Linked DNA regions of Rhinolophus ferrumequinum. The main gene of each other region encodes a partner of the protein of the gene in region 3 in a complex. Links are inferred from orthologs where the notes say so. Each region holds a gene or a part of one and is shown on either strand. Other genes may lie near its edges.

Region 1 (10,377 bases), on a different chromosome or scaffold from region 3:
CTTTCTGCAGCTGCACAAATTCATATGGTAGTTATGCAATTTCTGAATTTGGCATATCAAAATGGTGCTAGCAAAATGGGTATATACCATTATTAAATATCTCTGAAATATTGAAAGCTCATATAAAAGAAATCAATTATCAGTGACCAACAAATGTATCAACATAAACACAAAGTAAGTATTGGCTGAAAAAATATCAGAATGAGCTGGATATACCCATAGAACATGGCCTTTTTTTCTCACAAGGTATATAAACATTTTTGGCCAAATTTCTTTTAGAAAAGAGGAATAATGCATTATATTCCCTCCTTGAACCCTTCTCAAAACTTTACAAGCACCATAAGTAAACATCAACATTTTCTTCAAAGAAGTTAAACATTCTTCCAGTGCAAACATGCAGAAGGAAAAACTCATAATACAAATATTTGGGGAAAAGGAATTTACTTATTTACATTTGGTAGTTTTTGAAACTATACATGTATTTCTAATTTACATTTTGTACGTCTCTTTTGTTTGGAGTAAGCAAAAGAGTCTGGTCCATGGGACTTGTAACATTGATTAAAACGGCAAGCATTTCACTAAGATGTCAAAAACAGGAAGAACTTCTGGCATAATCAGCACTGATAGTAGCAAAAAAAAAATACTGGCAAGTCTTTCTGATGAAGAACTCTATTAAAGTACAATCTATATCGAGTTTGATTTTAAGAGTGATGATATAGGTCTGTCTACCATATTTTTGTAGCTTGCATATTGAATTTCCTAAGTTCACTGATCTGACAGTGAATAGAATTATTTTTATGTGGTCATAGACTTCAAATAAATATTCTTAAAAATAACATCTTAGGAATTTACACTTACAAGATACTTAATGTTAGAGTAGCGATGCTTTTATACGATGTTCATAGGTGAGAATGCAGCCTACACAAATAACCCTCTGTATAGCTAGAGGATCCTGTCAAACTGAACTATTTATTACTGATTGTTCAACTCCACTCATATAGATGTAACATTAAACAGTGGGGTCAAGAGAGAAAGCGTGCTAGCCCATAATTGAGAGCAACTGAGTCTAACTTTAACTTTTCCATAATTAGTTATATAAACTTGGGGAAAATCACCTAGCCTTTCTTCATCTCTCTAAAATTAGGACTGCACATTGATCAGAATAATTTTGAAGATAAAATAAGATAATATAGAATAAAAAGGATTGAAAAGTTTAAAACTATAAAAGTTAACCTTAATTGCTAATAACCATACAAGTAATAAGAAGTTGGACTGCTATTTCCAAACTAACCTAGAAGTTATATAATTTAGGATGTTTCTGGCCTTCGATAAATCCTGAATAAATATTTGTTATTTCCCTGAAGAAGCATGGGGAAAGTCACTTCACAAGCACCATGTCCCTGTGAAAACAGGTACAGTAGTCTCCCCTTATCCACGGGGGATATGTTCCAAGACTCCTAGCAGATATCTAAAACCACAGATAGTAATGAACCCTATATACTGTTTTTTCCTGTACATACGTCTTCTCTTTGGCATATTTGAATTGCCAGTATCAGTACTCTTGCGTTTAGGGGCCACTATTAAGTAAAATAAGGGTTACTAACAGCAGTTTTCTATGCACTTCTCTTTTTCTCTCCTTCTGGGTATGAGCTTGGGGGAATCATTTCATATTTGCTTCCTTATCTTCTAAAACCATTTTTGAGAAGATAGGAAGCAGACAAAGCAAAATGGGAAAGGTAGTGCCACCGTTAAATGCACTTGGGGCAGTCTCCAAGCCTCACACTCCTTCAGCGTCAGTGGGGTTTCTTGGAAGCTCTCTGTAAGGCTGGTAGCTTCCTAGCTCTCTACTATTTTAGAGACAGATCGTTCATGGCTAGGGAAGAAACTCCCATAAACCCAGTTAGCTTACTGTGCATTCTGGCCCTCAATGGTTGTTTCAGGATAAAACACCTTGGTCTTCAATGTTGTGTCCGATCTGAACATTCAGAACCTGGAAAAAAAAGGAGCAGGGTGCAGTTCCAGTTCAGTTTTAAGTGTAAAAGGAAAGTGAGAAGACAGACTCAAGAATGAAAAAGGGACTAGGAGGGCAGCCACGTGCTCTAAATCAAGGCTCTTTTCCTTCTGTAGGTTACTTAACCTTTCTCTGCCTTATTTTCCTTATCTGGACAATGGGAATGTAACATGTAAAGCTCTGATATTTGAAGAAAGTTGAAAAGAAATAATGTATATAAAATACTGAGCCTGGCACATCATAACAAACTAAATAATGGTAACCAATTTAAAGGCTAAAATTGAATTTCTTATTGTGCTAAGTCTGGACTGATTGGATTGTTACTATACGTTTTAAATCAAAATCAAGTAATTATAAGTGTTTTTTTAAATTCTCAAAAATGTATGTAAAGTTTCCTTTTAAGAATTTCAGGTAGAGACTCATAGCATCATACTGCCATAGATTTTTTTTCCCCTTTTAAATAGGGAAAAGTAAATTATTTACCAAATAGGTTCAGAAGCTAAAGCCGGGGGGAAAAAATGCAAGTCTGCACCTAAATTTAATCTGTGCTGAGCAATTTCTTGGCTGTGAATGTGTTTGGAAAGTATAAGCTTTCTCATGTGATAATTATTTTGGTTAGCTAGAAGAAAACTAAATGCTTAAAATTGCAAAATTTGCAATTTCATGTAAGGATGAACATTTTTTTCCTCCAGAATGTAAATATGTCAGTTTGAAGACAGGGAGAAGAAGGACAAAGAATAACAGATGCTTTCATTCAACAATTTTATTGAGTGGCCACTATGAATCGTGCACACATGAATCCAGTCAAAGCATCAAGGCACTGCCAAGAGTAAGATAACCCAGATGTCCTAGTGCAAGAGTTGGTAGGTTCTGGATTATGGAGATTTTGAAGGATGCTGTGAGGGGAGATCCTGGTTGGGGAGTAGGGAATGCTTTGCTAAAGGGTTAAGGAAGTGTCAGTCACAAGCTCTGGTAGCTTGGGAGGAGGGTCTTGCCCCACTGCTGCTAGAACTTATCTTTTCCCCACAACAGGGTCTGACGAATAGCAGGCCCTCCATGTGTGCCTCATGTGCTACTTCAGCCTCTCAGCTATGTGCTCCATTCCTGGGAGGGTCCCTAAGAGCAGCCCGGCAGAGAAGAGCAGCCTCTCTTTGAGAGAGGGTCCCAACCTAGAGAACTGCAGTGGCTCTCATCAGTATAGTGCAAAATATGGTTGAGCCCTTGTGTCAGGATCACATGCGCAACTTGCTAAAATGATTTCTTTAGCCCCACAGAACAAAATCCTGAGCGTACATGAAGCATCGGTGCTCACTAGCTGACTCTTCTGTTTTTTTTTGTTTTGTTTTTTTTTGACGAAGAGTTAAAATCAAGTACAAAATAGTGGTAGTGGGGTTAAACTTTATTTTTTCAGCTCAGTGTACCTAATATATGATCTACCTCTTTGGCCTTGTTTTAAGGGGCAGAATTTATATTGGCCTTTGAAAGAAACATTTTTAACAGGCCTCCTCTTTTTCTTTCAAATCTGTTTGCTATTTGTACTTGTCTTGCCTTCCAGTGAGAAGGTACTGGTAACAGACATCCCATTCCTGAAAATGATGGCTACACAGCACTCACAGCCAAACGAGTTGGGTTTAAGGCCTGACTCCAGCACTTATTAGCCATGAAACTTGGGCGAATCGCTTCACGTCTAGGTTCTTCTATTTTCAAATCCCTATGCCATAGATTACCTTCTCCTTGAAGAGTAAATACGGTTTTATGTCTAAAGAGCTAAGCAGAGTATGGCCTAGAAGTGCTCAATAAATTCCTCGAACTCCCACAAACCTTATCCAAATGCACTACTGATCTCATTTTTTACCGTGGTGGTTTATACATCTTCAAACATTCTCGAATTCTCTTATACTCTTCCCTTGGTTGATAATGCCTTTCTCCTTCCTCAGCTATCCAAGGAAAGTTCACTTTTCAAGATTCTACCCAAATAACCTCTCTCTCTCTTCTGGTCTTCTCTCCCAGTTCCCCCAATCCTAGTTAGCCCACCACTCCTTCTCTCATGACACATATACAGTTGAACCATAATTATGGACTTGCCTGTCATGCCCACGAGATTCTGTGAAACATAGTCATTCTTAAATCCTCAGCACTCAGCCTGGTGCCTGGCAGGTCATAGGTGGTCAAACCATAGATACACATATATGTAATTTTGCTGAATGCCTGGATAGAATGAATGGATTTAAGCGTAGATGGTTGGACGGGAATACGTGTGTGCTTTTGGAGAGGCGATGGCCTATGAGAACTGTGTGGTTTCTCTTGGCTTCCGCCGTTTCCAGATCGCCCACATTGCTGAAGGGTAATGGCTACCTTCTAAGGTCCCGCCGGTTTCTCTGCTTTGGGACACAGCTCTGCAGGGCACCGGCAGGGGGCGGCGTTGTCACACTGCTGGATGTTCCGCGGGTGACCGTCCCCTCCCCGGACCCCACCAGGCGCGCAGCTTTGGTGACCAGGCCCGGGCTCCCCCAGTTTAGAGGGGGCGGTCTGTTCTCCCTTCCAGGCTGGGCGGCTGGGGTGGCGCAGGGCCACGCGAGGAAGTTTCCAGCTTCCCGGCGCTCTCCCCTTCCACCCCACCTTAGCCTCACGGACCCTCTACGTAGAAGAAAGTTCCTCCTAGTTCGGGAAAGGCAGCGAGCGGCCAGAAGAAAGGGTGGGCAGAGGGCGAGCTTTCTAGCAAAGATGGTGGTGCGAGTACGGGTGGGGATAATCTTTACACTCCTTTCGCACCGCCGAAGCTCGGGGAGAAACTCTTTTATCCTGTAAACACGCACCGTGACTAGCAAACTAGCTCATTCCCACTGACATTTGTTTTCACTTGAAAAAGGCAAACCTCAGCGCGGTATTCCTACCGCGCTTTGCCTCCTGCGGTTCTCAGTAACAGTCGCGCTGCGAAGTGTCGGGCTCCGCGCAGGAGCCCTTTGCGCGCCCCAAAGGCCGCGCGCTACCCGCGCCGGGCGCTCTGGGCCCGCCCCCGGCCTCGGCCTTTGGCCGGTGGCCACCCGGCCGCCACAGCCGCCCGGGAGTCCGCTCAGTGACGCGCGCCGGCCAGGGCTCTGTTCCGGCCTCCCGGAGCCGCTCGTGCGCAGAAGTCGGACCCACGCTCGCGGCCCCGCCCTCGCGTCTCCTCAAGCTCGCCCTGAGCTTCCAGGCGCTTCCCGACGTTTCCAGAATCGAAACCCAAGGCGCGAGCCCCTCCTCTCAGGCGCAGCGACCGCTTTGAATGGACAAGTGGACTCATGAATTCACCCAGAGACCGGGTTTATTAATGAAGTAAACCGTCTAGCTATACAGTACATGGTGTTTAACAGGGAAGTCGTGAAGAACCTCTGGAGCCCCATCATCTGTAAGAACCCACCACATCTGGCGAGAATTTTATGTTTGGGAAGTTTCTGTAGTTGCGAGGTTTTAGTTATGTTCCAGTTTTGAGGACCACTTAGGACCCGTGAGACATTTTTGTCTCCTCCGTTGGGGAAAAAAAAACACGCATGGGCGAGGGGGCTGTATGTAAGAGAGATATATGTATAAATACACGCACGTAATATACGCGCACAAGTACTGCCACTGGCCTGGGGCTCTGAAAACCGCTTGGCTGGGCCCCGGGGGCTCAGCGCGCGGGCAGCTCCGCGCTCCGTCCGCCGGCGGGCAGGGGCGGCGCCCTATGCAGATGAGGAGGGTGTGGCGAACGCGCTGCGCCAGGGCCCCGGAAGCGCGGAGAGGCCCGGTATAAAAAAAGTACTGAAGACGTTTCCCTCGCATAAGTGCTAAAGCTCCAGAGACCGGAGCGTGTGCGGCGGCGGCAACAGTAGTAGGAGCCGCCACCTCTAGGACCACCGCAGCTGAGACGGCAGCAGCGCGGGCGGGGGCGAGAGGCGGGAGTGGCCAGCTCAGGCGGCTGGGGTCTGGGAAGGACTAAGTCGCTCGCCGCTGCCTGGAGCGCAGTCGCAGCTCCTGGAAGTGTTGCCCCTTCGCGGTTCCTCGCTCGCTGCGCTCCTAGAAGGGGCGGCCGTCTCCAGGTGACACAGACGGGACTCCCGCTTGCGCTTTCCAGATGCATCAGAGATACTTTTGGTGCGGGGCTGCTCTGCGGGGCGCGGTGCGCGCGGCTGGGGACAGGAGGGGCTGGGGAGGAAGAGTCTCAGAGGAGTCAGTCCCCAAGTCGGTCAGGGAGCGAACCGGGGAGGGGGCGCGCTCTTTCCTCTACGGGCTCCTGTTCGCAGCCAGGCGTCCTCACCTAGCTTCTTCTCCCCTCTTTTTTTTTTTTCCTTTCTTCTTTTAGGACCGACCAGGGCCAAGTGGCATTCGGCGGGCACTTCATGGCGGAAGGCGAGGGGTACTTTGCCATGGTCGAGGACGAGCTGGCCGGCGGCCCCTACATCCCCCTGGGCGGCGACTTTAGCGGCGGCGAAGTCGTCGTCAGCGGCGGTTTCGGCGGGCATTGCTTGGACTATTGCGAAAGCTCCACGGCGCACTGCAACGTGCTGAACTGGGAGCAAGTGCAGCGGCTGGACGGCATCCTGAGCGAGATCATCCCGATCCACGGGCGCGGCAACTTCCCCACGCTCGAGCTGCAGCCGAGCCTGATCGTGAAGGTGGTGCGGCGACGGCTGGCGGAGAAGTGCATCGGCGTCCGCGACGTGCGCCTCAACGGCTCGGCCGCCAGCCATGTCCTGCACCAGGACAGCGGCCTGGGCTACAAGGACCTGGACCTCATCTTCTGCGCCGACCTGCGCGGGGAAGAGGAGTTTCAGACTGTGAAGGACGTCGTGCTGGACTGCCTGTTGGACTTCTTACCCGAAGGGGTGAACAAAGAGAAGATCACACCACTCACGCTCAAGGTAAAGCCCCCCGACTTGGGCTGGGGTCCGCACCCGGGCTGGGCTGGGGTGCGGCGGGCCGAGGGAAAGGGGTTTTCAGAGGGACTTGTGTTTGATGCCACAGATCTGCGGCCGTGACAGCTTTGGGCGCGCTTATTTACTTTGCTTTTGATTTAAAAAAGAAAAATGAGTCAAGTAAGGTGCGTGGAACAGTGTTGAGCGTTGTACTTGACTTGGTGCTTCAGCGCCACAATTCTTCTGCTTCCTCCTCTGCCCTCCCTCCTCTTCCTTCTCCTTATTTTTTAACTCTTGGCTTTCCTTGCTTGAGCCTTGTTCAGAGTAGATTCTAAGTGGAAGAATGAAATGATGTAAATCATTTTTTGAGTCATTTTATGATGTAGCCTTTGAGAAAATAGCAGCCTGAAGCAGAACCAAGTCAGTGAGCTTATTGTATTGGAAAATGTGAATAGGTTTCCTAGCTGCATTTAGCTGACTCTGTGTGTTTAGGATAAATGTGGTGCTTCTCCGGGTTGGTTCATTTGTTAAGGTATAGTGGGTCCCCCCTCCCTACTTTGGTTCAAAGCGCGTTTTATATGTTTAGTTAAAATTGTCTGAGGAATCAGCCTCCCAGAATGTCCTAATATAGTTCATTTTGATTGTAACTGCTGAGTACCCCTAGAAGGACAGACAAGATACTGATCACATCTGTTGCCTCAGGGGGAGAAGAACTGGGTGACTAGAGACAAGGATGAGAGGCAGACTAACTTTTCACTGTATCCTCTTCTGTCTTTTGATTATTGTGTGGATATTGTGTGAATGTTGTACCTGTAAGACCATTTTCAAAAAATAACACTTCAAAAGTCAGACAAGACAACAGAACCTCTCAGTCCTGTGCTACATCTGCCAAAAGCCTCAAATTATTACTTCTAGTCTCCTTCCCAGACTGTAAAACCACTCGTTAAATGTATTTTTTTTTCTGTTTTCGGAAGACTATTTAAGCCTGTAGGTAGTGTTTTGCTGAAACTTGACAAAACAAAAGGGAAGGAGCAAAATGAATCTCATCTGTGAAGACGTATTTATTTATGATCTTTTCTAGGTATGCTTATCTTCTTGTTTTATCTTTTGAATTGTAGGAAGCTTATGTGCAGAAAATGGTTAAAGTGTGCAATGACTCTGACCGCTGGAGTCTTATATCCCTGTCAAACAACAGTGGCAAAAATGTGGAACTGAAATTTGTGGATTCCCTCCGGAGGCAGTTTGAATTTAGTGTAGATTCTTTTCAAATCAAATTAGACTCTCTTCTCCTCTTTTACGAATGTTCAGAGAACCCAATGACTGAAACATTTCACCCCACGATAATCGGTGAGAGCGTCTATGGTGATTTCCACGAAGCCTTTGATCACCTTTGTAACAAGATCATTGCCACCAGGAACCCAGAGGAAATCAGAGGGGGAGGCTTGCTTAAGTACTGCAACCTCTTAGTGAGGGGCTTTAGGCCTGCCTCTGATGAGATCAAGACCCTTCAGAGGTATATGTGTTCCAGGTTTTTCATCGACTTCTCAGACATTGGAGAACAGCAGAGAAAACTGGAGTCCTATTTACAGAACCACTTCGTGGGGTTGGAAGACCGCAAGTATGACTATCTCATGACCCTTCATGGAGTGGTAAATGAGAGTACAGTGTGCCTGATGGGACATGAAAGAAGACAGACTTTAAACCTTATCACAATGCTGGCTATCCGGGTGCTAGCTGACCAAAATGTCATCCCTAATGTGGCCAATGTCACTTGCTATTACCAACCGGCCCCCTATGTAGCAGATGCCAACTTTAGCAATTACTACATTGCACAAGTCCAGCCAGTATTCACATGCCAGCAACAGACATACTCCACTTGGCTACCCTGCAATTAAGAATTATTTTAAAATGTCCTGTGGGGAAGCCATTTCAGACAAGAAAGGGGGGGAGGGAAGGCTGAATGACCCAGCCCTGATTAGGGACGTGTTTTGTGCAATGATGATCTGCTCCTGGTTTTAAGCTTGGCAAAGCTTGTGGATCCTTTCATAGGTATGGGAGCGTGATCTCCAAATGATCCCCACCCACCAGCAACCTACCCACCCGGTCCTCCTATCCAATTGGATTCTATCCTGAAACAAAAGAGACCTGTCATTCAAAGCAAACAGGTTCTCCTAAAATAACATGGGAAAAAAATGCTTGATGACAATATGGGTTTGCAGTACCTTGCTCCCATAGCTTTGCCGTAAGAAAGAAAAGTGAAGTTTCTCATAAGATGGAATTCACAAAAGGGAAAATAGAAAGGATAAAAGGTTTCCCCTCAACTTAATTATCAAATCAGAAATTCATATAGTAACAACACAAGAAGAAGGGGAACTCCGACATTGGGTTTACTACCTGAGGCTTGTAGCAAGTACTTTCTGTTAAATTATTCTATTGTGCTAACAGAAACGGCTTGCTCTAAATGAACAGTAGTAGGTTGGTGCAGTTTTCATAACAAACAGCAGAACTATGATGACACAATCCATTATTTCCAGCTGCATGCATAGCTCGCATTTTTAAAATGTGAAAATGCAAGCAAAAACAGCTGTAGCAAAGAAAGTAATGCTCAAGGACCAAAGATTTAACAGATAAAAATACCCAAGTAGAAGAGATATAGTAGAATATATAAAGAGTTACTATATTTGTTACACGCCAATATACATCAAAGTGCCTGTTGCCTTTTGAAAATTTGGAGTGGAAAACTTTTAAGGTTTAATGATTATTTTATTTTATCAGGGACTAAAGAAGAAAATAAAACAACACATAAGCTTGTGAATGGTGGAGGAAATGCCCTATTTTTTCTTGGCAAATACTTGTATAAAGTTAACATTGTTGGTGTGACATTATCATAGATACATATGTATGTGTATGTATATTATGTGTGTATATATTCATATTTGTGACGAATATATACACACAAAACATTGACTATGGTCTAGAATAATGTAGCAAATAGGAAATGTTTAAATACTGTGTTTTTATGTTTTCAACAGGATGACCTGAGATGTGGGCATATTGCATTGATGAATTAAAACCCACATCTAAAAATATTAAAGCAAATGAAGGAGGAAAACAAGTAATATATTTGATAGGAAGAGCAGAAATTATACATTTTTAGTGAGTGTTTTTCCTTTTTATGTGAGCCATAGAATTCCACAAATGGGAGAATATTTGTTTGGCAGAGCACTCTTTTTTTTATACTGAAGTGCCATTTTGACAGTTTGAACCCTTTTATTTTTTTGTAATACTTGCATGCTTCCATGGTGTATAATCCAGTGGATCATTGATCAGTGATAGTCTATTTAAATCCCTGACTGCTAAAAATAACTTCTGGTGATCTGAACACTACTTATTAATATTTAAATAAATTTTTTAATGAATGCATTCTGCATTACAGGACCACTAGAATTTAGTAAATGTGAAATGACCCTTTTTAAAGAGTATTTGCACAAT
Region 2 (10,191 bases), on a different chromosome or scaffold from region 3:
AGGACTGGAAGACCAACATTTGAACATTGAGAAGCACACCTGGTGGGCGAGGTAGCCATCCTAGCAGGGGGGCGTCCGTGTCCTCTGGCAAGCTGTGTGGTAGTGGCGACGTCCCTTCTCCCAGCAGGCACGGACTCCCATGGTGAAAGTTTCAGGCAGTATGGCAGCTGGCGAGAGAGACATCCAAGGCCTAAAGGTGAGGCAGGTTCAGAATGGATCCAGGGGTCCGACTTGAGATGAAATGATCCGTTAACAGTTTACACTTTCACGGAATCCCTTTTCCCTGAAGGGAGATTTGAAAACAATAATCCTCAGATAAGAAATCTGGGGCCCCAGAAGTGAAGGTCGTCACAGCACGGTGTTGAGAACTCACCCTCCTCTGCTCTCATCCGACTTGCTTGGCAAGCTGTCCTGACCGTGAAGTGAAAAAGGGCCCAAGGTTGGCAAGGAGAGGACTCTTGTGAACGGGGCCCAGTGTTGGCACATGGCTTCACTCCCTCGTTTGGTCAGCACACACCTCCGTGAAGCAGCGAGCCTAACGTTCATTCCCATTTTGGGAGTAGGAAGCAGAGACGCAGAGAGGGGAAGCCAGTTGACAGGGATACAAGCCATCTGACTCAACCCTACCTTTTTTCTCCGGGCACTGTTAGGGTGGTGGGTATGAAGCGAGTCCAGAGACGGCACTCAGAGGGATGAGTCAGCACCCTCGTCTTGGGCACCTATCCTCTTTTCTCTTTCTGGACCCCTGTCTTACTGCCTGCCTGCTGCCCTGGTCCTCCAGTGTCCCCACTGCTGTGCTATACCTGAGCCTGCTGCCATAGCTGTGCCCAAGGACGCAGCCTGCTCCCTCTGCCCTGCCCCCTCAGGTCTGACCAGTCAGTCCTCCTGTGCTTTGTTCCAAATAAAATGTACACCTTACCTAGTTCTTACTCCAAACCTAGTTCTCTTTCTGTTACACCCAAAAAAATAGTGGCTTGAAGAAGCCTGAGAAGAGATGGGTTTCCCGGCGGGAGTTCTAGGTGGAAGGGGGAAAGCCAGGTCACACTTAGGCCCACACCAGAGTCTTGCCACGATGTAGACCGCGGCGCAAATAGGTCCACAAGTGCTAGAGCGCTTCTTCATTTCTCAGTCTGGGTGCTCCTGACAAAGTGCTGTTTAATTTTTGAAAATTCATTGAGTTGTGCTCGTGTGGTTCTGTGCACTTCTCTCTAAGCCAACATAGAGCAATAAAAAAAAACCACTTTGCTTAAAAATCATTTTAAGAAAGATAAGATATTAGAGCAGGGCATTCCAATAACGCTTATCATGGTGATCCACCTTGAGATAAAGTAATACAAAAACTCCAGACTGAAGAAACTGATAAATGAAGATAACCGGGCACGACACAAAAGATTTTTTTTCTTGCCTTACAAAAAGGATTAATGATAGAATTTCTTTGCTTGCCTGGGCATTTAAAATAAGATTCTCTTGAGACATAAAACGTTTTCAGGGTCATGACCACAAGTGAGGCACACTTGCATTATTTCTTCCCTTTGCTTTCTTTTCCTCCGCTCTCCTAGGTGCACACCAACGACTCACTTAGAATGCAAAGGTCTTTAAACCATTTTGATTGGATGTGCTCCAGCAGAGGCCAGAATTTGGCAAGAAAGTGGCTCCGGTAATTTCGGAAGGACAGATTCACTACGTGGGTCTATATCCAGTGGGCAGTAGCTGGTGACTTCCTGAGAAGCCTTCCAGCTCCAGGGTGCCACAGTTTTATGAGGTAGAAAGAACACTGTGTTTAAAAAAACAAAACAAAATAAAACAAAAACAATGGAAACAAAATGCTAGAAAAGTCAAGGCATGCTCCAGAAATTAAAAAGGGGCCCAAGGAAACATATATACACCTATATGAATAATGAATTTGTCTTCTGGGCTTTGGATCTCCTCTCCTCCCTACCACAGAATTGCATCGTGGTCGGGAAGTTGGACAAAATCTTACCTAAGCAAAGGTAGAACCAAACCATGCTAGATCAAATTCTAGGTAAGAATTTCTGACCCGTGTTCGACCCTGAGGCTCCCTGTGCTAATGGTGTCCATGAGATACTGAAAAAGTAGAAATGTGTAATGTAATAATTTTGCATTAATTTGAATGTGATCACGCATCCTGGATTTTTAGGGACACTCTGGATTTTAAGTAACCAATCACTTTGTTTTCTTAACTGAATTTTTCAGTTCAACAAATATTCATTCATTCAGCAAAACTACTCGCCAGGGGTGCCGAGCTAATTGGATAGCCAGATGGGAAAAATGAATTTTGACCCCAAACTGCACAAAAAATTAATTTGAGATGAATCACAGACCTCCGTGTAAAGGCTGAAACAATCAAAATGCTAGAAGAAAACAAAATAGGTAACCTCTATGGCCTTGGGCTGGGCAAAGAGGTCTTAAACATAAAAATCACTAGTCATAGAAATAAGATTAATAAATTAGACTTTAAAATTAAGAACTCCTGTTCCTCAAAAGATAACAATAGAAGAATGAAAAGAAAGCCACAGATTGGGAGAAGACATTTGTAATACTTATATTGGACAAAGGACTCACATCCAGAATATATAAAGATCTCTTATAGATCAGTAAGACAGACAACTGCCTACAAATGGGCAGAAGAGTTCAACAGACACTTCACTAAAAGGGTCTCAAAATGGCCAATAAGCATATGAAAAGTTTCTCAACATTATTGATTATCAGAGAAATTTAAATCACAGTGAAATACACACCCCCTTTTTTAGAATAAAAAGACTGACAATATTAACACAGGATTAAAATGTGGGACAACCGGAAATCTCATACCACTGCTGGAATATAAACTGTCACACCACTTTGGAAAACTGTTTGGCAGTCTATTGAAAGCTTCAAGGATCCTGCAGTTCTAATCCTGCGTATAAACCCAACAAACACGAATGCTTATGTCCACCAAAAGACACATACAAGAATGTTTGTAGGCCAGAGGGATGAAGGTTCAGTTATGTGGGATGAGTAAGTTCTGGACATCTAATGTACAGCTGGTGATTATAATAACACTGTATTATATACTTAAGCATTCTCACCCATCCCCCACACACACGGTGTGTGAGGTGGTGGACAGATATGTTAATTAACTTACTTTGTGATTTTATATATATATATATATATATATATACACAATATCATGTAGTACACTTTAAATATATACAATTTTTATTTGTCAAGTATACATCAATAAAACTGGAAAAAAAGATTATTTGTAAGCAGTTTCATTCATGACAGGCAAAAACTTGATGCAAACCAAACATCCACCAGTAGAAAGAGTACATAAATTATTGAATATACAGAGGGTGCCAAGAAAACGTATACACATTTTAAGAAAGGACTAAAGTATTAAAATTGTAATACTCGTTCTATACCGATAACAAGAGATGAATATAAGTCACGTTCGACCTTTGCAAGTAGAAGAGGTGCTCAAAGAGGTTACCATCAGCATCCAGACACTTCTGATTACGGCCAACTACTGCTTGAGCAACACTGACCAAAGTGTCCACTTGTATACATTTTTTTGGCACCCCCAGTGTAATGCAATAATTCACAGCATTGGAAAAGAATGAACCATTGTTCTACGCAACAACATGGACGGATTTCATAGACATGCTATTGAGGGAAAGAAGCCAGACGCAAAAGTGCACATCCTATGTAATTCATCCATATCAAGTTCAAACACTGGTACAGCTAACGTGTGGTGATAGAGGTCAGAATGGTGGTCACCCTTGTGGGACACTGAGTGGGAAGGCACACGAGGAAGCTGGAGACTCTATGACTCGATCTGGGAGGCAGTCACATGGGTGTACACATATGCAGAAATTCATCCCGTATACGTAAGATTTGTGCCCTTTACTGAATTTATACCTCAAAAACAAAAATTGAAAACAGTATATCCTGATTTCATGTCCCACAATGGAGTCACTGTGGCTTTTCCTACCAGCACTCATAGGGATCTCCTATCTCAATGTTCCAGGAGACCTCCCTCTCCCCAGGGAAGCATATATTTGAGAACTCTTTATATCCTGGCAGACACTGAAACCACACTTAGTTCAAGCAGGAATGGGAGGGGCGGGGTAGGGAAATACTGCACCTGGGAAACTTTTCCCCTACCATCCCGTAGAGGAGCAGTACAAGCTCAAGAAGTGTTTCTTGATAAATAAGTTACAGTTTGATATAAATAACATTTACCACGCACCTTTTATCAGGCACTAATAGCTTTCCATTTTCTTATTTAATACTTCTATAACCCTGTAAGGCTGTTCCATTTTTAGTCCCATCCTACAGGTGAGGAGATGGATATTTACGGAGGGTTGATTAAGTTACTTGCCCAAGGCCTTACAGATAGGGAGTGAATGCAGATCCCAACCCAGGTTATCTGAATTTAGAACCTGGACTCTAAACCACTTGGTATGGAACGAACGGGTGGTGCCCAGGCCCCGCCTGGATGTTACATAACACACACGCCTGAGCCCTGTGACTTTCCGAGTAGGGCTGAAGCTGTCGCCTGTTGCCAGGCATGGCGATGGATTCCTCGAGGCCCTTAGTCCCACTAACTGCACACAGGTGGTTAACTCCCGGCCAGAGTACCAACTGCGTGGGCCCTTTGCCCCAATGACCTCCAGCCAATTTGCTTGGGGAATCAAGAAAGTTCCTCGGCTCAGAAACCAGTTTTTTCCGATTTCAAAACACACACCGGAGGTAGGCGTGGGGGTTTCACTCTCCAGTCCTGGAGAGAACTAACCAGAAACTTCCCAGACAAGCAGAAGAAAAACAAGCCTACGGGGAAGCTGGACAGAGATGGGAAAAGTTACGGGGCAGGAACGGCAGAAAAGGGCATGGGGTAAAGTATAAAGTAAGGGAGGCCCGCTAACTCCGAAGTTAAGGGGGTGCCGACCCACCCCCTCCCTGTTGCGCCTGCGCGGTGCTACCTCCTGTGGCACCCCCGCCCCTTCCTGACGCCGAAGATTTACTCGTCTCTCGGCAACCATTCACCCGAGGAGCCAATCAGAGGGCACCTCTCGCCGGACCCTGGCCGTCAGCGCCCAGGCGGAGGGATCCCGTGGGCGCTGGCTCCTCCCCTGCCCTCCCGGCCCCGGGAGGCAGGCTCAGGGGCGGGGGCCCGGGAGGTGGCGGCGGGTGGAGGCGTGTCTGCGGGTATAAGAACGAAGGGGGCGGCGGCAGGCCGGCTCACTCAGTGCCGCTGCCTGGGGGCTGCAGTGACCGCGCCGCGCCAGCTGAGGCTGCCCACGCCAAAGACCTGCCGCTGTCGTCTCCTTTTCCGCCACCCAGGTGAGTCCAGGGCCCCCTCTCGCACAGGTGCGAGGATTCGGCGGCCCCAGGGAACCACGTACCCTGCCCTCGGGGGTCTGTCCCAGGCGAGCTGAGCTCAGGTCCTAGCCGAGCCCGATGGGGACGCGGGGGCGGGCGGGGAGGGGGGGGACAGGTGCCGGGACCCGGTCCTCCCTTCCCCTGCAGCTCCCGCGACGACAGCTCCCCCCCCACTCCCTGCCCCCGTGGGCCCGAAGGCGCTCCGAGAGGGAGCTGCAACTTTCCAGAGACTTCGGCCGGGGTTTGGCAAACTTCAGCGAGTTCCTGTTCCGCGCGTTCCCGGGGCGGCGGGGCGGCCGAAGAGTGCGTGATGGGGACATTGGGCTCCTGCCAGGTGTCCGCCGGCGCCCGGCTCCCCTCCCTTCCCTGCGGTCGCTCGGGCTCGCACCTGCGCTCCCACCCGCACTCCCAGCCTGGCCGGCCCGCGAATTCGATGCGGCGGTTCCGGGAGGCGCAGCGGTGGGGGGCTGGTATCAGGACCGGGAGGAGAGGGCGCTTCCCAGGCTGGGTGCTAGGGCCGGGGTTTTGAGGAGAGGGCAGAGATCCCTCACTTTTCTTGGACTCGCCCCAGACGGGGGACACCGCGAGCAGCCAAGTGATCCAAGCGAGTGGCTTGTGCGCTGCGCTTCTCTCGGCAGCTTCTCGGGAATACGGTGTCTGCGACCTGGTCCCTCCCCTTTGAGAAATGAAACTTGTTTACCGGGTAGACGCAAAGCCATGACAGTCAGTTGACTGGGCTAGCGGTGCCGTGGGTGGCTCGGAGGCGCCGCGGCCCCGGGAGGTGTCGCAGCCCAGATCCCTAAGGTGGGACAAGAGTCGGAGGAGGGCACAAATTGATAGCCTGGACACCTAAACACAACGCCGGCGGGCGATAAAAAACAAACTGCGCTTCCTCCAAGTTAGGGGGGTTCTTCGGAGAAACGCCTGGCGAGTTTTTCTGGAGAAGGAGAGTTGACCCATGCTCACTAGAACCGGCTGTTCGGGCTGGACCCCGAGGGAGGGATCAGCTGAGTCCCCTTCCCCTCTCCTGTGGGTCCAGAGCTCGGCTTTCTGCAAGGGCTGCCCAAATCCTTAACTAGGGACCTGCTGCCTTTTTAACTTGTTTTTTTTTTTTTTTTTAAAGGAGTTATCACATACAAACCACTAACTGAGCGCTTAAAGTGCACCTACTCCTGTAAGGGTTTATGAAGACTATGTAATCATTTGTATTGTGGCAGTTGGTATTCGGGATATTTGGTAGGTGGGTCAGGAACCTGAACCTCCCCAGGAAATGAAGTTAAGACGATTAAATCCTCCTGAAGTAGACTCCTGGCTTGGCCCAGCTGCCCTCCAAGACCGGAATGAGAGGGGCCATTGTTGGTTACACTAACCATTCAACGTGTGTGATTTGGCAAGGAAGCAAGGTGAGGGTGGTAGGAGTCCTTACCAAGAATTCTGCTGAGTCTTAAATCCCCAGAAGTAGTATTGGCAGGGCGAGAGCCGCACCTGAGACCCTGCCGGTTTCCAGGGGGTGGGGTGGGGACTGGAGAACGCTGACTTTTCTCTTCGCTTTCAGGGAAGCAGGCTGAGCTGTTCCAGCAGGAAATCTGTCCTTTGCTGTTGTTGTTTGTGAAGATGGAAAACTTACTATCTTTGGAGTGAAGCTTTTACTTGAGATAACTGAAACTTTATGTCTTCAGGTATACTCGTATCTTTAGAATACATTTATTCTCAATAAGGAGTTTTTAGAAAGAAGGTTTGGGTGTATGTTGTATAGAATTGGTTCAGGTAGCTGTGGGGAGAGTCCCAGAATATCCTTTTTCTCTGCCAGGTTCCTAAGTCGTTACCCAAAACAGAGGTCCCTGATTGATTTAGTTGAGCTCCCGAGGCTCCCCCTATTTAATTCCTCTGCTCTCCTCTGAGTACAGAGGAGCAGGGCCCAAGCCCATCCTGACTTGTAGAAGCTCTCGCCTGGCATCTCCTGAGAGCACCCCTCTCAGCCTCCATCCCCAGCCTTCAAGGCTGGAGCAGATTGTGCTCCAGGGTACAGAGAGGTCCTCCTGCTTTTGAAAGTTCAGGGAACTGCCTGGCAATAAAGATAATCTGAGCGGGGACTGTAGTGCCCTTGTTCTCCCGGTGCCAGTAACCAGACACACTGGATACAAATTGAGAAAATGACCTTTGTGTAACTGCCCAAGTAAGTAGTACCTGGTTTTCATCTTTGATGTATTGTGTGCAAGGGGTCAGTTAAGAATGACAATCCAAAGCCCTGAGAGGAGGCGGTAAACCTTTCTTTGTGTTACCGAGAGAAGTTGGGGAAGCCAAGACTGGTTTTGTGAGTTAAACTTGGGCCGTCTTTGGGTTTCTTGGTCTCATACTGGACTGTATCTGTTGCTTTGTAGGGGTGTGTGTGTGAAGGGCAGGTAGTGCAGAGTCTGAGGTGTTACTTGGGAGAAAACATTACTCCTCTGGTTGGATGAGGTTCATTGTTTTGTGTGTGCATGGTCACAGGTGAACAAGGCAATACAGAAAAGTACGTTCTGCCAGCTTGGTGTTTTGCCTGGGGCACGTTAGATTGGCATAAGCTATATTATGGGGGAGCAGGCACCTCTGTATTTAAAGAGGTGTTCAAGCCACTTGGGTACATCACGGGTGTTGATCTCTTGAGATGCTTCCAGGACTTCTGGGCTCAGACTTTTTTATCCTTCCACGACTCGCATGATTCGGAAGCTTCTATTTGGAATTTAAATGGTGTAGTGGAAACATCTTTGTATAACCCAGCTATGTAAGAAATAGCCTTAGGAGTTGTTTAAAATGAATAGATTTTGTACAGCCGGACCCCATAGCCTGTGCTAGCCTTGTTTGCAGAACTTCTTGGGACAACGGGAGAAAACTAATAAAAAACAATTGCTGAAGTTCAGCAACTCTGTGTGTCGGCTGTTTGCAGGGTGTTTTCAGTCTTGGAGCCTTTGGGGGTCTTGGTCACTAAACTGCCTAGAGTGTTTCTTAGGTAAGTGATGGAGCTGGTAGGTGGTTCAGTGCTTCCTAGGTGGCTTTGTGCTGAGGAGAAAAGGGGGTGGTGTGTGCAAAGGCCTGTCGGCATGGTCTGGAGGTGGCTCAGCCTCCCACTGTCCTTCAGGCTCTCAGCTTTCTCTTGCCCATCTTAGCCACCGGCATGTGAGCCCCAGGAAGGCAGGGATCTGTGCTCACTGTGGAGCCCCCGGCACCGAGAGCAGGGCCAGCCGCGCAGAAGGTGCTCCTGGTAACTGGATACCTGATTGCTGGCATCCGCCTGCCATCCCTCTCAAAGAGGGGGGCTGCTTTAAATAGGTGTCTTCCTGGTGGGCCAGGGGGCTGGAGCCTTTTGGAGCAAAAGCTCCTAGCCTGCAATGCAGGGTGGCTTCTGGGCCTTTCTCTAAATGGGGGCCTCCGGGGTGTAGGTTGGGAGCTGAGGGCCAGTTGCCACCAATTGGCCAGCAGCTGAAACCCCTTAAGCTGTTGACCTGCTTCCTGCAAGTGCCTCCTATGCTGTCCATCCCCCCAACACCCGCCTCGCAGGGCTCGCTCAGCCTCTCTCTCTCACCACATGCTCGCAGCGGTGGCCAGTTCTGCTGATTCTCTGTCTTTTTAATTTTTTGTTTCCCATGCCATCACTGACCTGGTTAGGGCCCTACAGACAGCAACTCGATGAGAGCAGTAACCAGCTCCTGTCCCCGCCCCTGGCCAATCCTAGTCCTCAGGGCCTGGAACACCAGCGTCACAACTCAGGGGAACTGCCCAACCCCCCAGAGGCTGAGCGTCTTAGCAGGACCTGTAGCTTTCTGACCTACTGTTTATTCTTGACGTCTTGTGGAGGAGTCTTCCCAACTGCCCTGCTGTGCCTCACAGCACACCTACTCAAATATTTGAACAAATTAATGCCATTCCTTCCGTACCATGCTTCAATCCATTTTCGGTCCCTTCTCAGGGGCTTGTGATCGTACCCCGTCTGGGGACCCCCATATCCCGTTCCCTGCCTCTTCAGTACTTCTGTATAGTTCTGCCTTATTTTCTAGGTTGTTGTTTGTTTTTTTTTTTTTTTCAAATTTTGTCTTCAATTGGATGAGCACAGAAAGTCCCCTAGCTGTCTCCACGTTAGCTCCCTATAAACACTTTTTGAGAAGACAGTTTTCCACGAATCGTCCACTGTTCTACCCCTTCTTGTCGCCATGAGCTTTTCTGACCGTGCTTAGCCCTTAGGAAGATGGGAGAGGGGCAGCCCTGCACCTCCCCTGGCTGGCCACCCCGTACTCCCAAACACATCCTGTGTGTTTGTCCCTCACCTGTGCTTACGGTAGTGAAGCGGTGGGCATTAGGACCACGGTAGCCAGCCAACTCTGCGTGCTCCTGGCCAGTCCTGGCATTCCCGGTAGAGTGGCTGTGAGGCAGCCGCAGTGTTCAGGAAGGACACCTGGGTTCTGGCCCTAGAAGCACCTTTACCTCTTCAGACGTCAGTTTCCTCATTGTCATCAGGACAGTAGCCCAGCGCTCTCCAATAAAAATAGGAGAGTCACATTTAAGTTTCTTGTGGTCGCATTAAAACATAAACAGGTGAACATAATTTTATTAATTTAACCCATCATAGTAAATATTTTAATTCGTAACCCATATAAAAATTTTTATTTTTCCTCGTACCAAGTCCTCTAAACCCAGCATGTATCTTGCGTGCACAGAACATCTCGATTTGGACTTGCTGTATGTCTAGTGCTTACAGCCACGTGAGGCTTGTGGACGCCACAGGGCAGCGCGGGTCTGACCATGGATAAAAGTGTTTGACTCACATTTGAT
Region 3 (10,316 bases):
TCGTTTGAGGAAAGAGCCTGGCGCCGATATACTGAGGGGAGCTGGGAGCGCCTGGCAGGTGAGCATTTCGACGCCCGCTGTTACGTCTGTCTGGGGTTTAGGAGGCAGCAGTGTGTCCCGTTTCCCACGGCAGGGTGTGTGACATGGCCCCGCGAAGTGCTCACTCCCATCAGGACACTCACAAGTTGGCATGTCCTTCTGTGTGGGACAGCACGACACAGCTTACGAGGAGAAAGGTCATTTCCTGCTCCCGCCAAAGGTTCCACAAATGTGAAGTAACCTGGTACCTCAGGACTTCTTGAGCTAAAAGTGACTGCAATTTTTCACACCTGAAGTACCTGTATCTGCAATCTATTAGGTTGGTGCAAAAGTCATTGCGGTTTTTGCCATGATTTTTAACCCTGTAAACCGTAGTGACTTTTGCACCAATGTAATCGCATTGCCAAGGGGAGAAACCAGAGTGAAGAGAAGTCCAGTGGAATTCACAGCAGACCCAGCCTCACCTTCAGTTTTACTGTCTTCCTCCAAACACAGCTCCACAGCTTCCACTGCTCGGGGACTGGTGAAAATGAGCCCTCCATAATCTTCTGGATGAGACAGCTGCACACCAGACAACAACAAAGGCATTTATGTGATGGCTCAGCTCAACATTTCCCAGACTTCCAAATGCTCAGAGGCGTAGCAGGCCAACTGAGTCATGCCCCGCGTCCACTCGTCCATCCCTCCACGCATCCGCTCAGTACTGACTGAGAGCTGACCCAGTGCCTGCACCTACCCTAGGCCTTAGGAAAACAGATGAATCCGTTACTCCTGGCACTCCCTCAAGCAGCTCAGTCGAGGGGGACACAAGCAGGTGCAGAGAAGGGTGGTGGATGTAACCAGAGCAGAGGGGCAACGGGTCTCAGCCTGGGCGTGGGCAGGAGGGGAGACCTGACCTGCATGTGTGATAGAACTGGAATATTCAAGGGGTGCTATCCACGCTGAAGCCCTGATTTTCAAAGAAAATGACAGTGATAAGATCGACTGAGCGTTTGTTCTGAGCCAGGCGCTCGGCTGTTTCATACAGATCCCTTCCCTGAACCTGTCCAAGTTCCCTGTGAGATCGGGGAGGGGGTGGTGGGGGTTCTATGCTCTCCTCATAGCTTATGCACACAGGCTTGGAGAGGCTGAGGAACCAGCCCGAGGTGAGCCCGAGGTGAGCGTCCCCGGGGACCCCCAGGCCTGTGCTCACTGCACACCCGGGGGGCCTGATGGAGGGTTCAGAGAACCCCTTGTGGAGCAGGGTGGCTGGTGTTGAGGGACAGGCTCCTGATTTCAAGTGATGTGGCCTCGGTTCCCCTTTAAAGCTGCGTACAGAAGACCATGCCAACTCGGGCCCCTGTTACATCATTCCCTCAGCACACAGACCCAGGGCATGGGAACATGATAAATCCCAAGTCAATGTCTGTGGAATTGAAGGAAGAACTGATATTCAGCTCAACCGGAAAGAACAGGAAGCTTTTCAGAGCGTGAAGGGCACGGCTGTGAGGTGCAGAGCCCGAGGGTGAACCTGGTGGTAACGGGCCGTGGAGCCCGGTGAGCAGGGCCGGGCGCCCTGGTTCCATGAAAGCCACCTGGCTCCTGGCCCACGCGTCCAGAAAGGAGCTCCCGGGAGATGCCCTGGGGTGTCTGTGTGCGCAGCGGTGGGGTTGCCTGGGCACTGACTCTTCAGCCTGAAATACCTGACAGGCTTTGCTGGGATCGTCCCTCCCAGGCCTGGCAGCAGAGCTGATGCTGTGGGGACATGTCCTGGTCTCGAGTGCCGACACTGCCTCTTATTTGCTGGAGGCCTCCGCTCAGTTGCCCAGCCTGGGACCCCAATTTGCACTTTGCATAGGTCGGGGCGGGTGGGTTAAAGCAGAGGATGCGTGGGAAAGGTCTGAACTGCTGAGGACAGTGCAGCTCTGGTGCCCTCCCCACAACCTGCCCTCCTGGGCCTTCTCACAGAACCCAGTCCAAGCCAGGGCAGCTTTCTGGAAGAGCTGATGGAGGAGGCTCAGGCCGAGAAGCCAACAGCAGCCCAATCCTGACGCTAAGTGGGGCTGTGCTGCCCTGTTTTGAAGTTTGGTACTGAAATGAGGGGAAGTAACAAAGTCCTTTGGCTTGGGTTGGCACAGAGTCTCAGAAACTAAATGTATCACACTTAGAAGTTACGGTGCTCAGACAATGACAGACCTTACCTTCTCCGAGAAACTGGGAAGAGACAAAAACTCAAATGATAAAACAGGGATCAAAGTGGCTTCAAGTCCATATAATCCTAATTCCTGCAAATAAAAGAATATAGTTCTGGATTGGCCAGGGTGGTTTGGAAAATAAGGAAAGGGTGATGGTATCATATGAACAACTTATTCTGTGCCAATTCCTCGGTTTTAGCACCCTCCGCCCCCGCCCCCACTTCACTGGTAAGGCAGTGCTGCGCTTTCCGGGACCAGGAGTCTCGGGCACTCACCCTGATGTACGGATCCTGGCCACTGTCATCCTCCTTGGCGTCTTTCAGTAAAAGAACCTTCATTGTTGCCTGGCAGTCCTTACAGGGCGCTGTGACAGCAGGGAAACAGACCTTACTTAGATCGCAAAGTCTTCCTAGGCCAGGAGGCCAGGAGCACGGGGAAGGAGGTAATCGCTGCTGGCTGACATCACCTACCCCCTGCACACTGAGTCAGCAGCACTCATGGGCTTGTTCCTTCAGAAGACTCATCCCTGATAAGGCCGAGGAACAGCATGCTGGCACTTGATACCACTGGAAAGGCAGATGAAAGCCATTAGGCAAAGCCAATGTCCTAGTCAAACATTTAAGGCTCACAGAAGAGAAGTGAGGCAAATTCTGGGTTGTGTCAATAACAAATAGAGAAATGGGTGTCTCGTATTTTAAGGAAATAAATAATTACTTCCATTTCAAGTTATATAGGCTAAGTTACTCACAAGCTCTTTAGGAAATGATTATATTGACTTCTCAAACTACGTTTTATAAATGTTGTCAAGTATCATGAGACAAACTTTCAAAAATATGTTCTGACAATCTAGAAAACAATTTATCGGTATATATCAAAAGCCTTATCTACTTCATACCTTTTCTTCCTGTAATTTCATATCTAAGAATAAACACTAAGGCAATACTCATAAATATATGCAAAGATTAACATAAAGTTGCTCATCCTGGTATTCTATTTTTTTATTATTGAGATATAATTGACATACAATATTGTTTAAGACGTACAACGTGCAGATTTGATACTTACATATTACAATATGATTAATTAACACCTCTGTCATGTCCCCAAATTATCACTTCTTTTTATTGTTGTGAGAACAAGTAAGCTCTAATCTCTGAGCAACTTTGAAGTTTATACTACAGTATTGTTGACTATAATCACTATGCTGTGCATTAGATCCCCAGAATGTATTCATTACTAGTTGCAAGTTTGTATCCTGGTAGTCTTTGTAATTGTAAGTGATTGGAAACAATGTAAATGTCTAACAATGAGAATGGTTAAATAATTTATGGTACAGTTATATGAAATCATTCAAATAGTAATCATTTAATTAAATGGATTAGATCATCACAACATAATATTAAGTTAAAAAATCAGGATTCAGAGTTGCATAAATAGTATGATTTTATAGATTTTATACATAAACATATGAAAGAATAAGCTTCAAAATACTAATAGTAATTATTTCTGGTGGTAGGTTAGGGTGATGATTTTCTTCTTTACCTCTTTCTGTATTTCCAAGTTTTTCTTACAACAAACATTAAATTCCTTTGTATGGAGGAGAGAAAAGCACATTATAACCCCCCAGAGGCCTCAAAATAAATGCTGCCAAAGAACTGGAGAAAAAAGGGCAGATTATTATCCTGGACGTATCGTTAGACCTGCCAGCAAATTACCTAATAAACATAGTACAGCAATTGGTAATAGTCAAACAGGGTGTATTGCTCGGAGCAGAAATGTGTTACCTCTGGGAACCATTACTTATAAGCTATTACTGAAAATAGAGAGTGCCAAAAAATGTATACACACTTTAAGAAAGGAAAAAAAACTGTATTAAAATTGTAATAATAAATACCGGTAACAAAAGATGAATACAAGATATGTGTATACATTTTTTTTGGCACCACCGGTATTTCCAAAACATTATAATATCTATAGGACGTCTTAGGAAAATTTGGCTCAAAATGAATTGTTTTGTATCTAAGCAACCAAACCTGGGTGAACACATACTAATTATGAAATCAAGTTCCAATTATTGCTGCTGTCGTGCTGTTAGCTAGAGAGGTTGGGGATTTGGGAAAGCGGGCAGCATAATTTCTCTCCTTTCCTGAAGTTACTGAGACTGTGTCTCAAACAGAAATTAGGAATCTACCTTTTCGTGATGGTGAGTCTTATGTGTCAACCTGGCGAGGCTAGAGTCCTCACTCATTCTCAAATGCTAATCGAAATAAGTGTTGCTTGGAAGGTATTTTGGAGATATGGTAAAGGGCACCATCAGTTGACTTTTAGTAAAACAGATTAATTTAGATAATCTGGATGGGGCTGATTCAGTCAGGGAAAAGGCCTTAAGAGCAGAACTGAGGCTTCCAGCGGAAGAAGCAATTCCTCCTGTGGACACAGCTTCAGCTCATGCCCGAGTCCTGCCCTCTCCTTGGACTGCACTATGGATTTCAGACCTGCCCCCAGAGTTGCATTAAGTCTCCTAATATATATATCCCCTACTGGTTCTGTTTCTCTGGTTGAACCCTGACTATGCATCTTCCAATTTGGGGGTTCCAGAAATCTGCTATGTCATTGAGTAGCAGGTAAAACTTGGCATTTTCGGCTAACGCGTAATTCTTTCCAGGGCACAAAGAAAGCAACTATTGTGGGATTAAACAGTGGAAGCTTATTGCTGTTGGAAGCGGGGAATCTTCTGGCCACAAATCTCTTCTCGGCCCTCCCATGACCCCGCCATGGTTCTAGGTTCTGAAATACAGATCCCACAGTTTTCAAAAGGATATGTTAGTAATGCTCTCAAATACCAGGGCCGATCTCTCACCGAGGTGTTTCTAAATAGTGCTCAGCAGTGACACCTAGTCTCCCTCAGGGTGTGCATTCCTTACTGGGGGTGGGGGACAAGTTCAAGTACTACCCAGTGCTAGGAGGTCATGTGGTAGAGGGAACTGGGGTGCCGATAATTAGTTACTTCCCAGGGGCACCTCTCTGGGAAGGTGACATCTGAATGACAATGGCAGTGAGGAGAGTTAAAGGAGGTGACATCAGAGTTCCGATCTGAGTGACAAGAGCCATCAGGAGAAATGTTCAAGTGTCAGAAAGGGTCCCTGGTGTCCCCAGGAAAGACGGGTATGCTGGGCTTGAGTGCAAGGGACAAGGTGACTTTGGGTTCCACGAGAAATAGTAATTCTCTGAAAGGTTTAAGTCGAGAGAGGCAGCGATGGGACTTACGCTTCAGAAACACCCCGGCCTCTGTGGCGAGGAAGGCCATCGCAGTAGGTTGGGCGGCGGCGGTGGTTTTGGGGGTTTAGCAGTGGCGAGGTTAACTACTAATGTTACCACTAACGTTAACTACTAATGTAATTCTGGGTGAAATCACCTGTCCACAGCCAGGTTTGTAATGGTTGGGAGCAGGATGAAAATAAGGACCTCTCGTCTTTGAATCCCACCATGTCTTCGTCGGTACCGAGGGCGGTGACACCTACCTCGCCGGCCTGGTGAGGCCCGAAAGGTCTAGGAGCCCGGGCCGTGCCCAGTCCGGCGGGCGCGGGCCCTGGTCAGTCCCCCGGAGGCGCGGTATCTCGCGATGCCAACCAGGAGGCTTTGAGGATGCGGGAGTGATTAGCAGGGCGGGGGGCGGCACCCTCACCACGTGGCCTGCACTACCATGGCGACGACCTGCGCGTGGACTGCGGGCACCGACACCGCAACCCCGGGTCGTGGAACCCGCCCTGCGCACAGCTGGTGATCGCGCATGCGCTTCGACATCCAGGCCCGGGGCGGGGGGGGGGGGGACGCCACCGAGATGGGTCGAACCACACTGCGCGAAGGGGAGGGAGAGTCTTGGAGGAGGAAAGGAAAGATGGAGGGAGGAAGAAAAGGCCAAGATAGGACTCCAAGATGGACTTGACTCTGAAGGATCGCGGTCGTGGAATTCAGCAGGGGCCCTGGCCTTGTCGCCGATTCAGCGCCGAGGCCTTGTGTGATCTCTCACCCCCTCGGGCTGTGTGGATGAGTCCGGAAGGGCAGGCGTCGGGACGTGGCGCAGGCGCAGTGAGGCCGGAAACATGGCGTCCAGGCCCAAGCGGCGCGCTGTGGGCAGTGGAGCTTCGCGGCCGCTAGACTCCCGGGTCCCGCGGCCTGAGGAGGAAGCGGAAGATGAAGTCGAGGACGAGGACGAAGACGGTGAAGACAGTGACGAAGACGAGGATGAGGACGACGAGGTCGTCGACGAGGTGAGAAGCACACGCAGCCCCAGTGTGGTTTGTATCCGGGGAAGAGCTTTCTGAGCGCCCAGGGCGTGTGAACGTGTGCGCTGCTTGGAGTCCTGACTTCGCGGTCAGTACCTGAGGGTCTGTAACCTGAATTTTGAGATGGTAAGAGGTGGTTAGTCAAGTTGCACTGCTGTCTCTTCCACCCTGCAGCCACAGAATTTGTTTTGAAACGCCCCACGCCAGCCAGGTCGGCCCCGGCCCCATGCCTCCCCCGCCCAGAGAAGAGCAGCACAGCGCTTGTCCCGTGACTTTCCCCAGTTCCCGGGCGGAAGCCCCAAGCCCACAGCAGGCTGCCCAGGGCTGCAGGGTTTATCGTCCTCTGCCCACCCCGCAGCCCCAACGCCTGGTTGGCGGCGCCTGCCTCCCGCGCAGCGGCTGCCTTTCCGGTTCTTGAGACCTGCTCCCGTCTTCCAGGAGCCTTTCCCAATGCTCTTCATCCTGCGTGTTTTCCCTTCCCTGTTCGGGGCTCAACCAAGCTGTCTCGTCTCTGCCTGCGGGTGGGGGTGACGGGTAAGCTGCCCTCCCCATCTCACCAAGTCCCGGGGGTACGTTCTCGTGGAACCGGGTTCCTTAGAACAGCTCCTGCCATAGCATTGTGGGCACGTAATATTTATTGAGTAAGTAGGACTAAGTGATCCTTACAACCACTGAATGGCTAACAGGTACCTCAAATTGAACACCTCCAAAGCACAATTTGTAATGTGTGCCCTGGCTCCTGCTCTTTGCCATTTCTGTAAATGGTTCCCAAATTCACCAGTTGCTCAAACCCGTAACCCGAAACTTAAATTTAATTCCTTTTATTTATCCCATATCCCGCTCGTCAGTAAATCCTGTTACCTTCCTTTTCGGTATCCAGATGTTTTTCATCGTCGGTTCTACAACCCTCATAATGCACACCTCCATCGTCTCTTGCCTGCGGTACTGTAGTTGTGTTAAACTGGCGCACCTGCCTCCGTTCTTACTCCTCTACAATCTGTACCCCATCCACAGCCAGAGAGATCTTTTAAACACGTATGTCTGTCCTCACTCCCCTGCACTGAACGCTCCAGTGACTTCCCATTGCATTTGTAAGAAAATTCGAAATCTTCATGGTTGAGGGACAGCAAGTCAGTCAGTGTGGCTGGATCAGAATAAACAGGAAAGAGAGAGGGGAAATAAAGTCAGAGATCAGCGTGAGTCAGAATGGCCGTGGAGGGGGATACAGAGTAGCATGGATGCAGGGCCGAGCCTGGCCTGGGCCTGTGACACATCCGCCCGTGAACAGAGTCCCCTCACAAAGCAGCTCTGTACTGCGGCCCCTCATCTGGCACTTGGGCTCACCAGTTTTCAATTAAAAGAACTTGAACCGTTGATTTTGTTATTTTTGAATTATGGAAATCAGTGCTTTTTGCATTAACATGGCTAACCTGTCAAACTGCCAAGAGTTAAAAATCTGTGTAATAACTATCACTGCTGATCGTGTAAGAAAGTAGGCACTTACATACACTGTTGGTGGGAGTGTAAATTGTGCGATCTCTTTGGAGAGCAGTTTGACAATATCCATCGAATTTTACAGTGAATACATCCCCTGACTCAGTAATTCTACTTTAATAATAGTAATTCATGATGTTCCAGGCTCTGTGCACTTTGTATTGACTCATTTAATGTTTACTTCAACTATACGAGGTTAGTAATTAACCATTTTACTACCAAAGATACAGAGCAGGTTAAATGAAAACAGGATGTGTAGTGAACCCTGTGTGAGAGAAAGAAGAAACAAAATATGTTTGATTGTATGTGTCGAAAACTTATTGAAAGGATAATTTACTATTGACAGTAATCTCTGGAGAGTGGGGGCGTGGGAAAATAAGACTTTGAACTCTCTAACCTCTACACTCTTTGTAGTGTTTACCACTGACGTATTACTTTTTTGACTGAAGAAATTGTTAAGGTTTTTAGGGCAGTTAGTAGATACTGATTCCTTTATTTATTTGAAGGAGGCTTTTATTTTCTGAGATGGTCACTCATCCACATTTCATTTCCCTGATGTAGAAATCTGTCAGAATTGTTTTTGAAATTCAAAATCTGCCCAGATCTGTTTTGAGACAAGATATAACTAACGAAGGAAATGTGCAGTTTTTTATATTTTTTTAAAGCTCTAAAGAGCCTGATTTTGAAGGACAGGGTGACCGGCTTTGAAACAGCTGGCTGAGCAGCAACAGAAAGAGAATTCCAAGAAACAGGTGGGGATAGTGAGAAGGAGAAGAATTGGACAAGGCATGTTTCGATAAGGTTCCTTTTGGTCATGTGGTTAGGACTTTTGTTTGTGCTGAATAGAAACCTTGGAGGATACTTCAGCAGAAAGGGGAATTTGTGGTAAGGGTGTAAGGGCATCTTGGAGACTTCCAAGGGCAGGAGAGCCGCTGGGCCTCCGGAATGGACTGGGTCCTGGAGCCTGGAATGCTGTAGAGAAACCGAGATGTCCTTCACAGTTGTCATCTCTGCTACATTCAGAATATTTGGTTTTCTTTCTATTTCCACTCTGTATAGCAGAAAATAGAAAATACCAACAGCTTCTGAGACTTTTTTCAAAACAGCAAGCAGGCTAGATGCCACATTTAGTCTTAATTCTAAACTAAGTCACTTGGGGGTGAGTGGCAGGGCTCTGTTTTACAAAGATGACTGTTGCCCTGAAACCATATGGGTGGGGGCCCATACCAAGGGAAAGGGGTGCTGGGCAGATAATCCATTTGGTGTGTGTTGCAATGGCAGTGCCATAATGGCCTGAGACAGGTCTGCGGCTTCTGTCTAGATAAGGGAAAGAATAGTAGAAGAGCTTTATTTCAGAATTTATTTCTTTTTAAGGAGTAATTCCAGACATGAATTGTGACAGTTGGTTGTTTGCTTTGGTTTGACCCTGTTTGGAGCACCCCCACCCAACTCCCAGGGTTTTGCTGTTCACGTGATCTGGCTGAGCCTCCTTCAGAGAGCCAGGATTTGAAGTCCGTAAACTGGCCTTGATATCCAGGCCTTGGCAAGTTAACAGCCAAGGAACGCTTAGATATATGCACATCAGGATGGCAAGGCAAAAGGAGGTCTCATTTTCCTCTATGGCCCCCTTCAGCTAAGGCCCAGATTGCAGAGCCTGCGAAATTTGAAGTGTGTGTAAATACACTTTTTCCTCAGAGCCCCACGTTTGGTGTGTCACTTACCAAGGTTTGACTTAGGATCCTCAAGGGCTGATCTTGTGTAGCGTTTGAAAGCTTCTCAGCTCTTGTTAGTGGAGAGAAGCGATCCATTCATTTATTATGGGATATGTCAGTGGCATCACCTCTTAGATTCTGTCGTCGTTTTGCCAACACAGATCAGGGAGCCTGGCTACACACACCTTTTAGTTCCTGTACTAACTGTATTTCCTCTGACCTCAGGGCCTTGGTACGCGCTGTTCCTATGCCAGGAGCTCTTGTCTGCAGTTCCCAGCTCAAATGTCACTCCTCTAAGGGAAGTCTTCCTTTGCTATCTGACCTCCTATTTCGCAAGCTGTTATAACACGTGCACCTGTGTTTTATAGCTCACATAGTTGCAGCTTCATATTTAGTTGAATATTTCCTTAATGTCTACATTTCCACCTAAACCATAAGCTCCATGGGGGCAGGATTATTCACGCCTGCTTTGCTCGCTCACCTTTTCATCTCGAGTGCCGAGCACAGTGCTTGGTGCATGGTACTTAGGAAAGACGTATTTGCCAAGTGAATGAAGCGTAGCCTCAGACCCGTGGGCTGAAGCAGGCTCTAGGCAGTGCAGGGACTTTTGA

Evidence for each region.
Region 1: the proteins of BCCIP (region 3) and TENT5A are in contact, whole or in part, in a crystal structure (PDB 8EXE), measured with the Homo sapiens proteins. The link is inferred for Rhinolophus ferrumequinum from reciprocal best matches to the Homo sapiens genes BCCIP and TENT5A. Residues at the interface, in NP_510868.1 of Homo sapiens: Val57, Asn58, Ile59, Glu60, Phe61, Glu62, Ala63, Tyr64, Ser65, Leu66, Gln146, Val149, Leu150, Phe152, Cys153, Glu154, Lys155, Asn156, Cys157, Glu158, Lys159, Glu163, Lys167, Leu203, Ala204, Ala206, Thr225; in NP_060103.2 of Homo sapiens: Arg87, Gly88, Asp139, Glu151, Gln155, Lys158, Lys184, Glu185, Val188, Gln189, Lys190, Met191, Val192, Lys193, Val194, Cys195, Asn196, Asp199, Trp201, Asn213, Arg289, Lys295, Glu331, Arg334, Gln341, Asn342, His343.
Region 2: the proteins of BCCIP (region 3) and TENT5C are in contact, whole or in part, in a cryo-EM structure (PDB 8EQB), measured with the Homo sapiens proteins. The link is inferred for Rhinolophus ferrumequinum from reciprocal best matches to the Homo sapiens genes BCCIP and TENT5C. Residues at the interface, in NP_510868.1 of Homo sapiens: Val57, Asn58, Ile59, Glu60, Phe61, Glu62, Ala63, Tyr64, Ser65, Arg136, Gln146, Cys153, Lys155, Ala204, Gly205; in NP_060179.2 of Homo sapiens: Asp90, Asp92, Glu102, Gln106, Arg109, Lys135, Glu136, Val139, Gln140, Lys141, Leu142, Val143, Lys144, Val145, Cys146, Thr147, Asn164.

What each region holds. Positions count from the first base shown.
Region 1 is NC_046286.1:40,704,865-40,715,241, reverse strand, and holds the start of TENT5A (terminal nucleotidyltransferase 5A), read left to right. Parts: upstream 1-5,831; 5' UTR 5,832-6,104; coding exon 6,105-6,124; intron 6,125-6,332; coding exon 6,333-6,891; intron 6,892-8,003; coding exon 8,004-8,780; 3' UTR 8,781-10,377.
Region 2 is NC_046305.1:47,527,854-47,538,044, forward strand, and holds the start of TENT5C (terminal nucleotidyltransferase 5C), read left to right. Parts: upstream 1-5,194; 5' UTR 5,195-5,346; intron 5,347-10,191. UniProt on the Homo sapiens protein: Catalyzes the transfer of one adenosine molecule from an ATP to an mRNA poly(A) tail bearing a 3'-OH terminal group and enhances mRNA stability and gene expression.
Region 3 is NC_046299.1:5,345,840-5,356,155, reverse strand, and holds the start of BCCIP (BRCA2 and CDKN1A-interacting protein), read left to right. Parts: upstream 1-6,161; 5' UTR 6,162-6,316; coding exon 6,317-6,484; intron 6,485-10,316. Other genes in the region: UROS (uroporphyrinogen-III synthase), read right to left, coding at 504-600, 2,220-2,303, 2,489-2,551. UniProt on the Homo sapiens protein: During interphase, required for microtubule organizing and anchoring activities. During mitosis, required for the organization and stabilization of the spindle pole.